Solanum lycopersicum: one gene and its partner. Each later gene encodes a partner of the first gene's protein in a complex. Links are inferred from orthologs where the notes say so. Each region holds a gene or a part of one and is shown on either strand. Other genes may lie near its edges.

Evidence for each region.
Region 2: the proteins of NADH dehydrogenase [ubiquinone] 1 beta subcomplex subunit 8, mitochondrial (region 1) and putative NADH dehydrogenase [ubiquinone] 1 beta subcomplex subunit 7 are in contact, whole or in part, in a cryo-EM structure (PDB 8BEH), measured with the Arabidopsis thaliana proteins. The link is inferred for Solanum lycopersicum from reciprocal best matches to the Arabidopsis thaliana genes AT5G47570 and AT2G02050. Residues at the interface, in NP_568684.1 of Arabidopsis thaliana: Ser103, Lys104, Val105, Pro106, Phe107, Thr108, Pro109, Arg110, Tyr112, Pro113, Tyr114, Leu117, Glu120, Leu121; in NP_565280.1 of Arabidopsis thaliana: Met10, Ala12, Thr13, Gln14, Met17, Leu24, Gly25, Arg27, Asp28, Met29, Arg69, Met70, Ala72, Met73, Ile76, Arg77.

Annotation. Positions count from the first base shown.
Region 1 is NC_090807.1:64,703,936-64,709,176, forward strand, and holds the start of NADH dehydrogenase [ubiquinone] 1 beta subcomplex subunit 8, mitochondrial, read left to right. Parts: upstream 1-2,005; 5' UTR 2,006-2,143; coding exon 2,144-2,281; intron 2,282-2,398; coding exon 2,399-2,485; intron 2,486-2,981; coding exon 2,982-3,077; intron 3,078-5,241. Other genes in the region: ldh1 (L-lactate dehydrogenase), read left to right, coding at 733-1,176. UniProt on the Arabidopsis thaliana protein: Accessory subunit of the mitochondrial membrane respiratory chain NADH dehydrogenase (Complex I), that is believed not to be involved in catalysis. Complex I functions in the transfer of electrons from NADH to the respiratory chain.
Region 2 is NC_090803.1:2,706,633-2,711,426, reverse strand, and holds the start of putative NADH dehydrogenase [ubiquinone] 1 beta subcomplex subunit 7, read left to right. Parts: upstream 1-1,618; 5' UTR 1,619-1,676; coding exon 1,677-1,979; 3' UTR 1,980-1,999; intron 2,000-4,794. UniProt on the Arabidopsis thaliana protein: Accessory subunit of the mitochondrial membrane respiratory chain NADH dehydrogenase (Complex I), that is believed not to be involved in catalysis. Complex I functions in the transfer of electrons from NADH to the respiratory chain.

The DNA of each region.
Region 1 (5,241 bases):
TGAATATTGTGTCTTCAATATGTCATACAATGTTGGAAGTGAAAAATTACTGTAAATATAAAAAGGGACATTCCTATATGAAAATAATATAAGAAGATGCTTTTTTAGAGTTAATTTTCCTAATTTTGATAAATAAATTAGATTAGATTGGATCAATTTAATATTTTAAAATAAATATTAAAATTATACAAAAGTACTACAAATTGAAATGTTTGAATATATACTCTCTCAGATTAGAAAAGAATGACCTCATTTTTTTTTTATTTTTTTTGTATTCAAATAGATGGATTAATTAACAAGATACTTTATTTGTCTCAAAATAAGTGTCATCTTAACTTGTTTCACGTCTATCAAGAAAATTAGAGTAAATAAAAGATATCCGATTTTAGTAAAGAGACACATTTTTGGATGGAGGGAGTGAGGGAGTAAACAAGACACTTACATTGAAATGGAAGGAATTCTATTTCCCAAGTACATGAAGGGAGAAAAACTCCTATTTTTCGAGTTCGATAGATAGAAATAAGCTAACACATTATAACAACAACATATCTAATATAGTAATTAAAATTTGTTTTTCCGTTGAATTTAAAATACTATTAATAATAAATACTATCTAATTAGAAATTTACAAAGTATTTGAATCGAATTTAACATCCGATTAATACCCTAAGTTCTGTGTGTATTGTTTATGTGAAAGTAGTATACTTGTGTGATATATTTATATATTTGTAGGCATACATTGTTGGAGAGCATGGTGATAGCTCAGTGGCACTTTGGTCAGGCATTAGTGTAGGAGGTGTACCAGTCCTCAGTTTCCTTGAGAGGCAACAAATTGCTTTGGAAAAAGAGACGCTGGAAAAAATCCACCAAGAAGTTGTGCACAGTGCATATGAAGTGATTAGTCTGAAAGGTTACACATCATGGGCAATTGGCTACTCTGTTGCTAACTTGGCTCGAACAATCCTTCGCGATCAAAGAAGGATTCACCCTGTTTCGGTTCTTGCAAAAGGGTTCTATGGCATTGATGGTGGCGATGTGTTCTTGAGCTTGCCTGCACAGCTTGGTAGAAGTGGAGTTTTGGGCGTGACGAATGTGCATCTTACTGATGAAGAAATTGAACAGCTTAGGAATTCAGCTAAGACTATTTTGGAAGTGCAGAGTCAGTTGGGAATTTGAAAAAAATAGTACTACTAGAGTCTAGAAACTGTTCATTTACCAATGTTACTATACTACTACTATATGTTGTTTCTTATTATACAGTTTGTTGAATTTTGTTTACGAAAAAAATAGTGAGTAGCACAAGTGTTGTAGCAATTGGTCATAGGACATATTGGCTGCTTGCTAGTGTGCTCCGTGGTGCTAACTTTGAAATAAATTGTAACACAACTTTTTATGTCCTTATAAAGAAATTTAATTTTATTATACTCCAATTTCAATATACTTGTGAAACGACAATAGTTAAGTAATTTTTCTGTTACAAAATAAAGTTAAGTGAATTTATGAGATAATTATCATTTGTTAAACTACTTTTATTACAAAATTAAATCGGATGACTTTTTGAGAATATAGTTATTAGCTGATCAGTGATCTCGTTCGAATAATCATCTGTATACTTTGAACAATTTGTTATGATTCAAGTTACTTTTAAATGTTCTTAGCAGAAGCAATTTGCTCTAGTTAAAGTGAAGGAATTAAGATAAATGCATCCTATGGGAGTTTCATCATTTGTATTACTAATAAGAATTAAAAAAAACCAATTTTAGTAAGATTTTTTTTTTCAATTATTGATTGAATAAATTGAAGCAACTCTTTCAATGTTTTGGGTATGTGAGATGAATAACGAAATCATATAAACATATTTATCGTAATATAGTTTTTTTTTCTAACATTTCCAGCTTTAGGAGGACGCTTTTGTGTACACTAATAAACTTTGGTGCTTTTAATGGAATTTACACTAAAACTAGGACCGAAATACAAAAATGGAGAAATTACCAAACGATGTCGTTTTGGTTCATTGCCTTAAGCTATGGAAAGGGCAGTTCAGTAACGCAATCTCTACTAGGGAAAAAAATTGAACTGAATCACAAATCGTTGAATTCCGAAGAACTGTCGGCGAGATACGAACGATTCCGATCATCGGAAAATGGCCGGAAGATTGAGTAATGTAGCTACTCGCATAATGGGCGGAAACGGTGTTGTCGCCCGCTCCCTCGCATCCTCTCTTCGAACACGCGCCGGCATGGGCCTTCCCGTCGGAAAACATATCGTACCTGATAAGCCGGTAGTGACTATAGTATAAATACATACAGTACTTATACTTTTTATGTTTCATTTTGTTTTTTTTAGTTTGATTGGCAAACCCTAATTTAGTGTTGATGTTTTTTCGTTATGATTGTAGCTTCATGTGAATGATGAACTTACATGGGACAACGGTACTCCTTTTCCCGAGCCTTGTATCGATCGGATAGCTGATACCGTTGGAAAGGTTGGATATTTTGTTCTAATTTAAGATTTGTTTTTAAATCACCAATTCATTTGCTACCGTTTACAATTTTTCATTTTTAGTCAAATTAGTTTTAATGTGTATTGGAGATTTACTTGCTGATGTTGGAAAGGTTTGATATTCTGATTAGGATCCCTATTTGAAACCCATGTTTATTCTTTTTATAATTTTTATTTTTGATAGTATATCAAATCATTAAGATTTTATATCTGTTGGAAAGGCTGGATTTTTGGCTCAAGATTTGTATACGAATCCCCAATTCATTGTTTCACCCTTTAGTTTGTTAATAAAAGTAATTATAGTCTGGAATTGGAGACTTCTATATGTGAAATCTTAGGATTTTGTATCTGTTGGTAAGGGGATTAGTATTTGAATCATCTTCATGGCTTTACCGTTCACGATTTCAAGTTTTTCATTTTTGCTAGTCAAGTTATTTATATAAGATAATTGAAGATTCTTGAACTGCTTTTAATGTCAGTATGAAGCATTGGCTTGGTTGTGCGGTGGGTTGAGTTGTTTTGTGGGGATTGGACTGTTAGCTGTTTGGAATGATAAAGCCTCCAAAATCCCATTTGTAAGTCTGCATTATTGTATTCCAATTCTGTTTTTCCTTTTTAGTGTGAAACAGTTATGCTTTTTTCTTTTTTGAATAGAATCAGTTATGCTTTTTTGACATACTTATCAGAAAAATAATGTTATGCTTTGATGACATTACTGTAGTACTGTACCATGTTGTCCAGATGCGAGTTGCATTTTTGTTGCGTGTGTTTTTACTATGGGTGGACTTGTATCTTGTTTACTGTGTCAATTTGTGGTAAAGTTACTTTAAGCTGTTTGTTGATCTTCGTGTTGGACGAATACTAAAGAACTCTTTTTTTTGTTGACTAAAGGGTAACTTTACTATAGAACTCTATTGCGGCTGTGGTTTCTTCATTCTGTGTCTAAATGACCAGCATCACGTGGATTATATTAGAGTTTGTTATGTGATCTTCTCCTTATAGGCTGGGAAATGATCTGTTGAAATATTATGGTACTATGACAGAATGATGTGATGCTAGGATCGAAAACCTAGTAAAGAGTATTACTTTTTCTTGGTCAAAGTATCCACATACTTTATTTTGCCAAACTTGAAAAATGCGTAGTCCCGAACTACCTCATCAGAGCATCTGCCTGATTCTCCGGTCCCTAACCCTGTCAATTCTTCTGTGCTCCCTCCTGGTGCACATGCACCTTCAGCTGAACCATCAGTGAAGAGGAGGATCGCCGGAGGTTTTACCACCTATAGTCAATCCAGTAATCTACCACTAGTTATAATGCCTTTTGTTATTTCTTAAAAAGAAAAGGCCGTCTCCAGTAGGCTGGTGAAAATATCTGTGGTGTAGTACTTAAAGTATCTGTAGAGATAGTATCTTCATTTGCTCTATGCACCACCTTAACAATTTTTTCTTTTCTTAACCTAAATTACTTCCTATTTCTGGGGCTGCAAGGACTAGTACCTTGTGGTTTGGATTCTTCACCTGAAGTTGTTCAATTAGAGCTTCCTATCCTACATTTTTTTTCCATGGCAATTTTCCTTATTGCTCCTTCTTTCATGTTTGGTATGAAGAAAAATGTTTTCGGAAAACATTTTCCTATTCTCTCTTGTTTGGTAGTGCTAAATATTTAGAAAGATTTTTCCTAAAATTAGTAGATATACCTTGTACTGGTTCTATCACTTTTGTATTTTTCATCCTCTGGCTGCTGTTTTGGTGAAATCCCGTTTTCTTCATCAAAAAATTTCTGTTTACTCTGTTAGATCATTCGTTGAAGAAGCCTAAGTTTTTACTCAATCAAATATATTTTGTTTCCACGATGAAGTGCTAAAAGATGAGAAATGTTTGCTGAAGAATATATAAAGAGACGTCTTGCATCATATCCTATTTTGAATTTATATTGTGCAGTAAATTCAAGGCTAGATGCTCTTTATTAATACTAGTCATGAGCTAGCTTTAATGACATTATTGTTGTATTCATAAAGTTATTTGCTGTTGATTTTGATTTGCTAGGTAGCACAGAAAGAAGTTTCATTATCTTATCGTTTTAGAAAAAAAATCATTGTGTTACCTACCCTTGGGGGTGGCCCAATGGTTTGAGCTTGGGACTTTCATGTTGGAGGTCCAAGTTCGAAACCCCTTGCCAGCGAAAGGCCGAAAGCAAGGGGTTTGCCTTTTGGGTCGAGCTCGTCGCACTAGACTTGCCTAGTGCGGGTTATCTCTCCTATGTGGTTTGCGAGCTATTGCACAGGAGCGTGGGTTTTACCCTGTGCGCACCCAAAGGGTAGCGGCTGCGGGTTTCCCTTGTCATAAAAAAAATAAAAAAAATAAGAAGACAATGTGTTCAATATGTGTGCGTTTGTAGCATTGAAGAAAGTTCTATCCTGAAAACGATGAAGGGTCAAAAATACCAGTAACATATTGAAAATGACTTATAATTACCCTCCTTCTACTTATTGAACCAAAGTTGCACTTAGCATTAAATTTAAGCCTAAAATTGCTCCTCCTTGTAACGGAAGCAAGTATAGAAAATGTGGTCTTTTCAATGTGGCATCAATTTATTGGTCCATGTGTAGTTACTAGTTAGACCCAATCAATTTACCACCCGACCCATGAATCCAAACCTGTTCTAAAAAGACCCCCACAACATCCTCTTCATTCTCTCGATGACAAAGACTTAATCACCTTCCTGCCAGCATCATACCC
Region 2 (4,794 bases), on another chromosome or scaffold:
CAATATAGTATAATATTATACAATACAATATAATACATTATAAAATAATGAGCAACAATTATCCAAACAGCGTGTTAACTAGTAGTTCAAAACGTTTTTTGTATTAGTGACTTGTTTTTTCAATTTAAAATTTAACCAATAATCCGATTTGTTAACTTTAGTGCCTTTTTACTCATTTTCTTCGCACTAGAGTCATACATATTTTGATATCATAATGATTCGATTATCGATTTAATAAAATCAAATTGAACCAACTGAATAAATAGCTCTAGTTTGAATTTGTAGATTATAATTAAGATAATATTTTACTCCATCGTATCACATTTTTTAATTTGGTGATGAACAACATATAATTACTTAGTATTTTACTTTTGTTTTTTGGCGGTGGCTCTTGTTGGGAAGGTATGATGACGACTGTCAAGAATTATAATATAGGTGTGAAAATGATGAGTTATTTAGTTGAGACAAGAGAGTATGTAGCGTTCGATACGATGAAAAATATTTTTTGTAAAAATATTTTAAGAAAATTAAGATGCTTTTTATTTTTATGTGTCTATAAATGTATAAGTGAAAATAAATTATTTATATCATAGAATTAAGTTATCCAACGTTGATAAGATACAGAAGCATTCTGTTGAGTCGACACTGATTTTTGAATTTTTAAGACACAATTTTTGAATTTTATTGATAACAACGTTGTACTTTTAAGACACGATTTTAAATTTCACTTGCATGGTTTTAAAATCTAAGGCATGTTCTTTGAATTTTACTCGTTAAATCTTAATCTTTAACACATTGTTTTTTCGACTAATTTATGTCAAGTATAGCCATTTTCGAATTCCAACTTGATATAATAATTTTGGAGAAGCTACATGATTAGATATATTATACTATTACTACTATTACTACTACTACTACTACTATTATTATTATTATTATTATTATTATCTATACTTTCAAAATATTACGTATCTTATCACTAATTAAGAATTCTCTGTCATATATTGACGAAGAAAAAACTAGATACATACACTTTTGTTATCAGATACATTAAAATAAGGAGAGAGGCAAGCGGATCGAGAGTGAGGTGAACAAGATTCATTATGTATATATATAAGATACAAGCGAATCACACTAGGTACATGTATATGCATGTATCTGGTGTGATTCACATATAAACAAAATGCCAAATACATAGGAGGGTGGCGAGCGAGAAGGGAGGGAGGCTGAGGAGATTTTTTCATGTATCCCAGATAAATGAAAATCCATTTGGTTACAATATATCTTGAACAAATTATACCTAGTTTTGACAATATACATCACGAGATACATGTACCTGGATATATCCAAAGGTATATGAAAGAGCCAAAATTAGTAAGATTCGTAATATTAGAAACTAGAGTGAATCTAAGTAATTAGCAGTAATGAGTTCTACGTAAGTTTCCCAAAAAGAATTGTAAAAGCTATTAGTACAACACAATTTTTATTGGGCCTAAATATTAGCCCAATCACTACAATCCCAAACATCCAAAGCCCAAATAACCCCAAAATAGCCCAAAAGCCCAACAATACCTCACAAACCACAAGAGCGAATCTCTACAGAGCAAACAATCGAAAAGAGGGGAAAATTCGCAGAGAAAAATCCCAAAATCGAACAAACGAAAGTCAATTTGGCAATGGAGGTTCCAGGTTCATCGAAGAAGATGATTGCAACACAAGAAGAAATGGTGGAGAACAAAGTGCCATTAGCATATAGGGATCAGTGCGCACACCTTTTGATCCCTTTGAACAAGTGTCGGCAATCGGAATTTTATCTTCCATGGAAGTGCGAGGATGAGCGCCATACATATGAGAAGTGTGCGTATGAGCTTGTTATGGAACGGATGCTTCAGATGCAGAAGATCCGTGAAGAGGAAGCACGAATGAAGCAAAAGGGACATCAATCCATTCCTCTCATTCCTAAGACTGCTAATGCCTAGTTTTTTTTCCCATCATCTAGGTCAGTTACCGCTACTTGATTTCTTTGTTGTTATAGTGATTGTTTGAATTGATCTCCTTATACATAGTTTCAGTTTTGCTCCAAAATTGCTGTGAGTTTTATTTTTGATGATGGTTTTTGACTGAATGTATAGGTTAAGATGTTAACTTGATGAAGGAATTAAATAGTTGTTTGTGAAGTTTGTTTAAATATTGCAAAAACTTGTGTTGTTTGTGGAATTGTGTCAAACATTTTGATAACTTAGACAGTGTTATACAAATTGGAACGGAGAACTTAGCTTTTATTTATTTGTTTCGCATTTTACTGACTTAGATTTCTCGGAAGGATACATGTAGGATTTAGAGAACCAGAAGACCTAAAGAATTTAACTAGTTTTTTACTAAAAGACGAATAATGTTGTATTGAAATGAGAAATTATAGTAATTGTTAAGTAGAAGGAGAATTCAAGTTCCAATACCGAAAGTGTTGTTAGTATTGGAATGCAACCATCGCTAAAGTTGCAATGGATCCTAGGAAACTAGGCTCATATCTAGAGAAAAGTATGAGTTTTGTGGACCGATATCTTGTACTTTTTGTTTGTTTGTGGAAGGTGGCATGTACTCAGCAGGTTAATTGACAAGCAGTAAAGTAGCGTAGAAACCACCATTATAATAGACACGTGAAAATATTGGATTAGTAGTTAAGTAGTTTGAAAGTTGTATATAGGAATTCCCTCTAAAAGAGTAGTATATAGTAATTATTATTTGAAGAATCGTGTTGACATTTTGGTAGTTCCAAAATTTGGTGAGTGTTATATAACTTGGGAAGGAGAAGTTGGTTTTATTTATTTTGTTTTGCCTATCTCTAATTTAAGAGATATCTTGGAGATTAGTATATCCATTTAAGCAGAAATGTGAGTTCAATGACCTTCAATATATACAGAATTCCCGGTTTGGCAATAAAAGACATATTATTTAGTATTGAATAGAGTAGAGTAGGTACTAAAGATTTATATTGGGGCTCCAATATGTATTAGGTCAGATGTATTTTTCTTGGAACGAAACAGGCTGTTGGATTAAGTGTAGTGGACATGGATTAGTCATATAGCCCACCTACACTGCTCTGGGATTGTGAGCATACTAGGAGTGATAAGATTCGAAATATGATATCCGCGGAAAAGTAGGAGTAGCCTTGATTGAGGACAAGATGCCAGAAGGTTGGATGAGATGGTTCGGGTATCTGAAGAGAAAATGCACGGATGTCCTTGTGCAGAGGCGTGAGAGGTTGGATGGTTTCAGGAGAGGTAAAGGTAGGCTGAGGAAGTGTTGAGGAGAGGTGATAAGGCAATACATGACACAGCTTCGGCTGACCTTGGACTTGACCTTAGATAAGAGGTTATGGAAGACACAATCACATAATAAAGGTTGAAGGTTAGTTGGTTAGTTGAGTGTTTTCTCACTATCCATCCATACTTGTAGTCATAGTCACAATCACATAAATAGATTTTAGGGGCATTTGGCACAACAAAACTCAGTATCCAGCATATGATTGGCCTTGCATTGAATAAAAGTTAAGGAGATCATAATGGATTGTTTCTTTGGAAAATAATGTGGTGCATGATTGAGATTATGGTGGCACATCTTTAGATTCTTCACATATCCATGCTTTTCACCTCAACTGTTCTTTTAGGAATTTAAGGATTTTCTCTGAAAGCTGTTGGTGTTCAGTATGCTCTAGCACATGTCCACGATGTGTCTATTGGAAACTGACTTCGTGTCTGATTGAGATTATAGTAATAAATCTTGAGATTCTTCACCATTGTTACATATATTTTCAACTTTTCCTTTTAGGAAATTGAATGTTTCTCTTACAGTTGGTGTCTATAGTTTCAAGGATGTTAGTTCTTTCTTTTTATCATAGTGAGGATATCCAGGTTTACTTGTGTTAGCTATGATTCATTACCATTGACTCTTTTCAGCAAGTGCAGACCTGAGACTAAATTTTAGAATCTGTCTGATATTTGATCTTACTTTTGTAACTTAGCAAAGAATTGAATCATTATTCTAAAAGTTTTTATAGCTATTAGGTTTGTCTGATTAGTGAGTAATAGTGTTTTTTTCCTAATCGTGCTTCATCTAATTGAGATATGAGGTGACTTTATGATCTGATGATTAAAATATTCCTTGGGTTTTATGGGTGATTCAGCTTATAGATGCGCAATGAGATCATTGATTTGTAAAAAAAAAGGAATCCTCTTTATTATGGAACTTATTTAGTACAATTTTATTTGGTTGTTTGGCTCATTCTCTTCTGGAAGGTCCAGCATCCTCACAATTATTCAGCAGTCAAGGTCCTAATTTGAAATTCTTGAAATTTTCATTATCTAGCTTGTGCAGTTAACATGCAGATTTATTATTAAATATTGGGTCGACCAAGATTCTCTATGACGTAGACATGTAGTAACAATATCCTTTTAACTTAAGACATTTATAACATCCTGAAACAGCTTGCTATCTTTTAAGCACATGCAGTGCAAATGGCATCACAGCTTCGTATATTTGTGCAGCATCTGATGCAAGTGACTTTGACTAGAGAATATATAAGTCTTGCTTCATTACCGTGTAGTACCTTATGTTGCAATTGACACAGGCAGTTGTGTATGCAGCAACAACTTTATTGTTGCAAGCCTTTTGGGCAGACTGGAGACTTTTTTGAGACCCTTTTAACTATAATTTTCATAAAATGTAAAATTTTTGTCTAGCCCTTACATAACAGGAAATAATTAATATTTATCTCCTTGAAGAGGTCACTGCAAA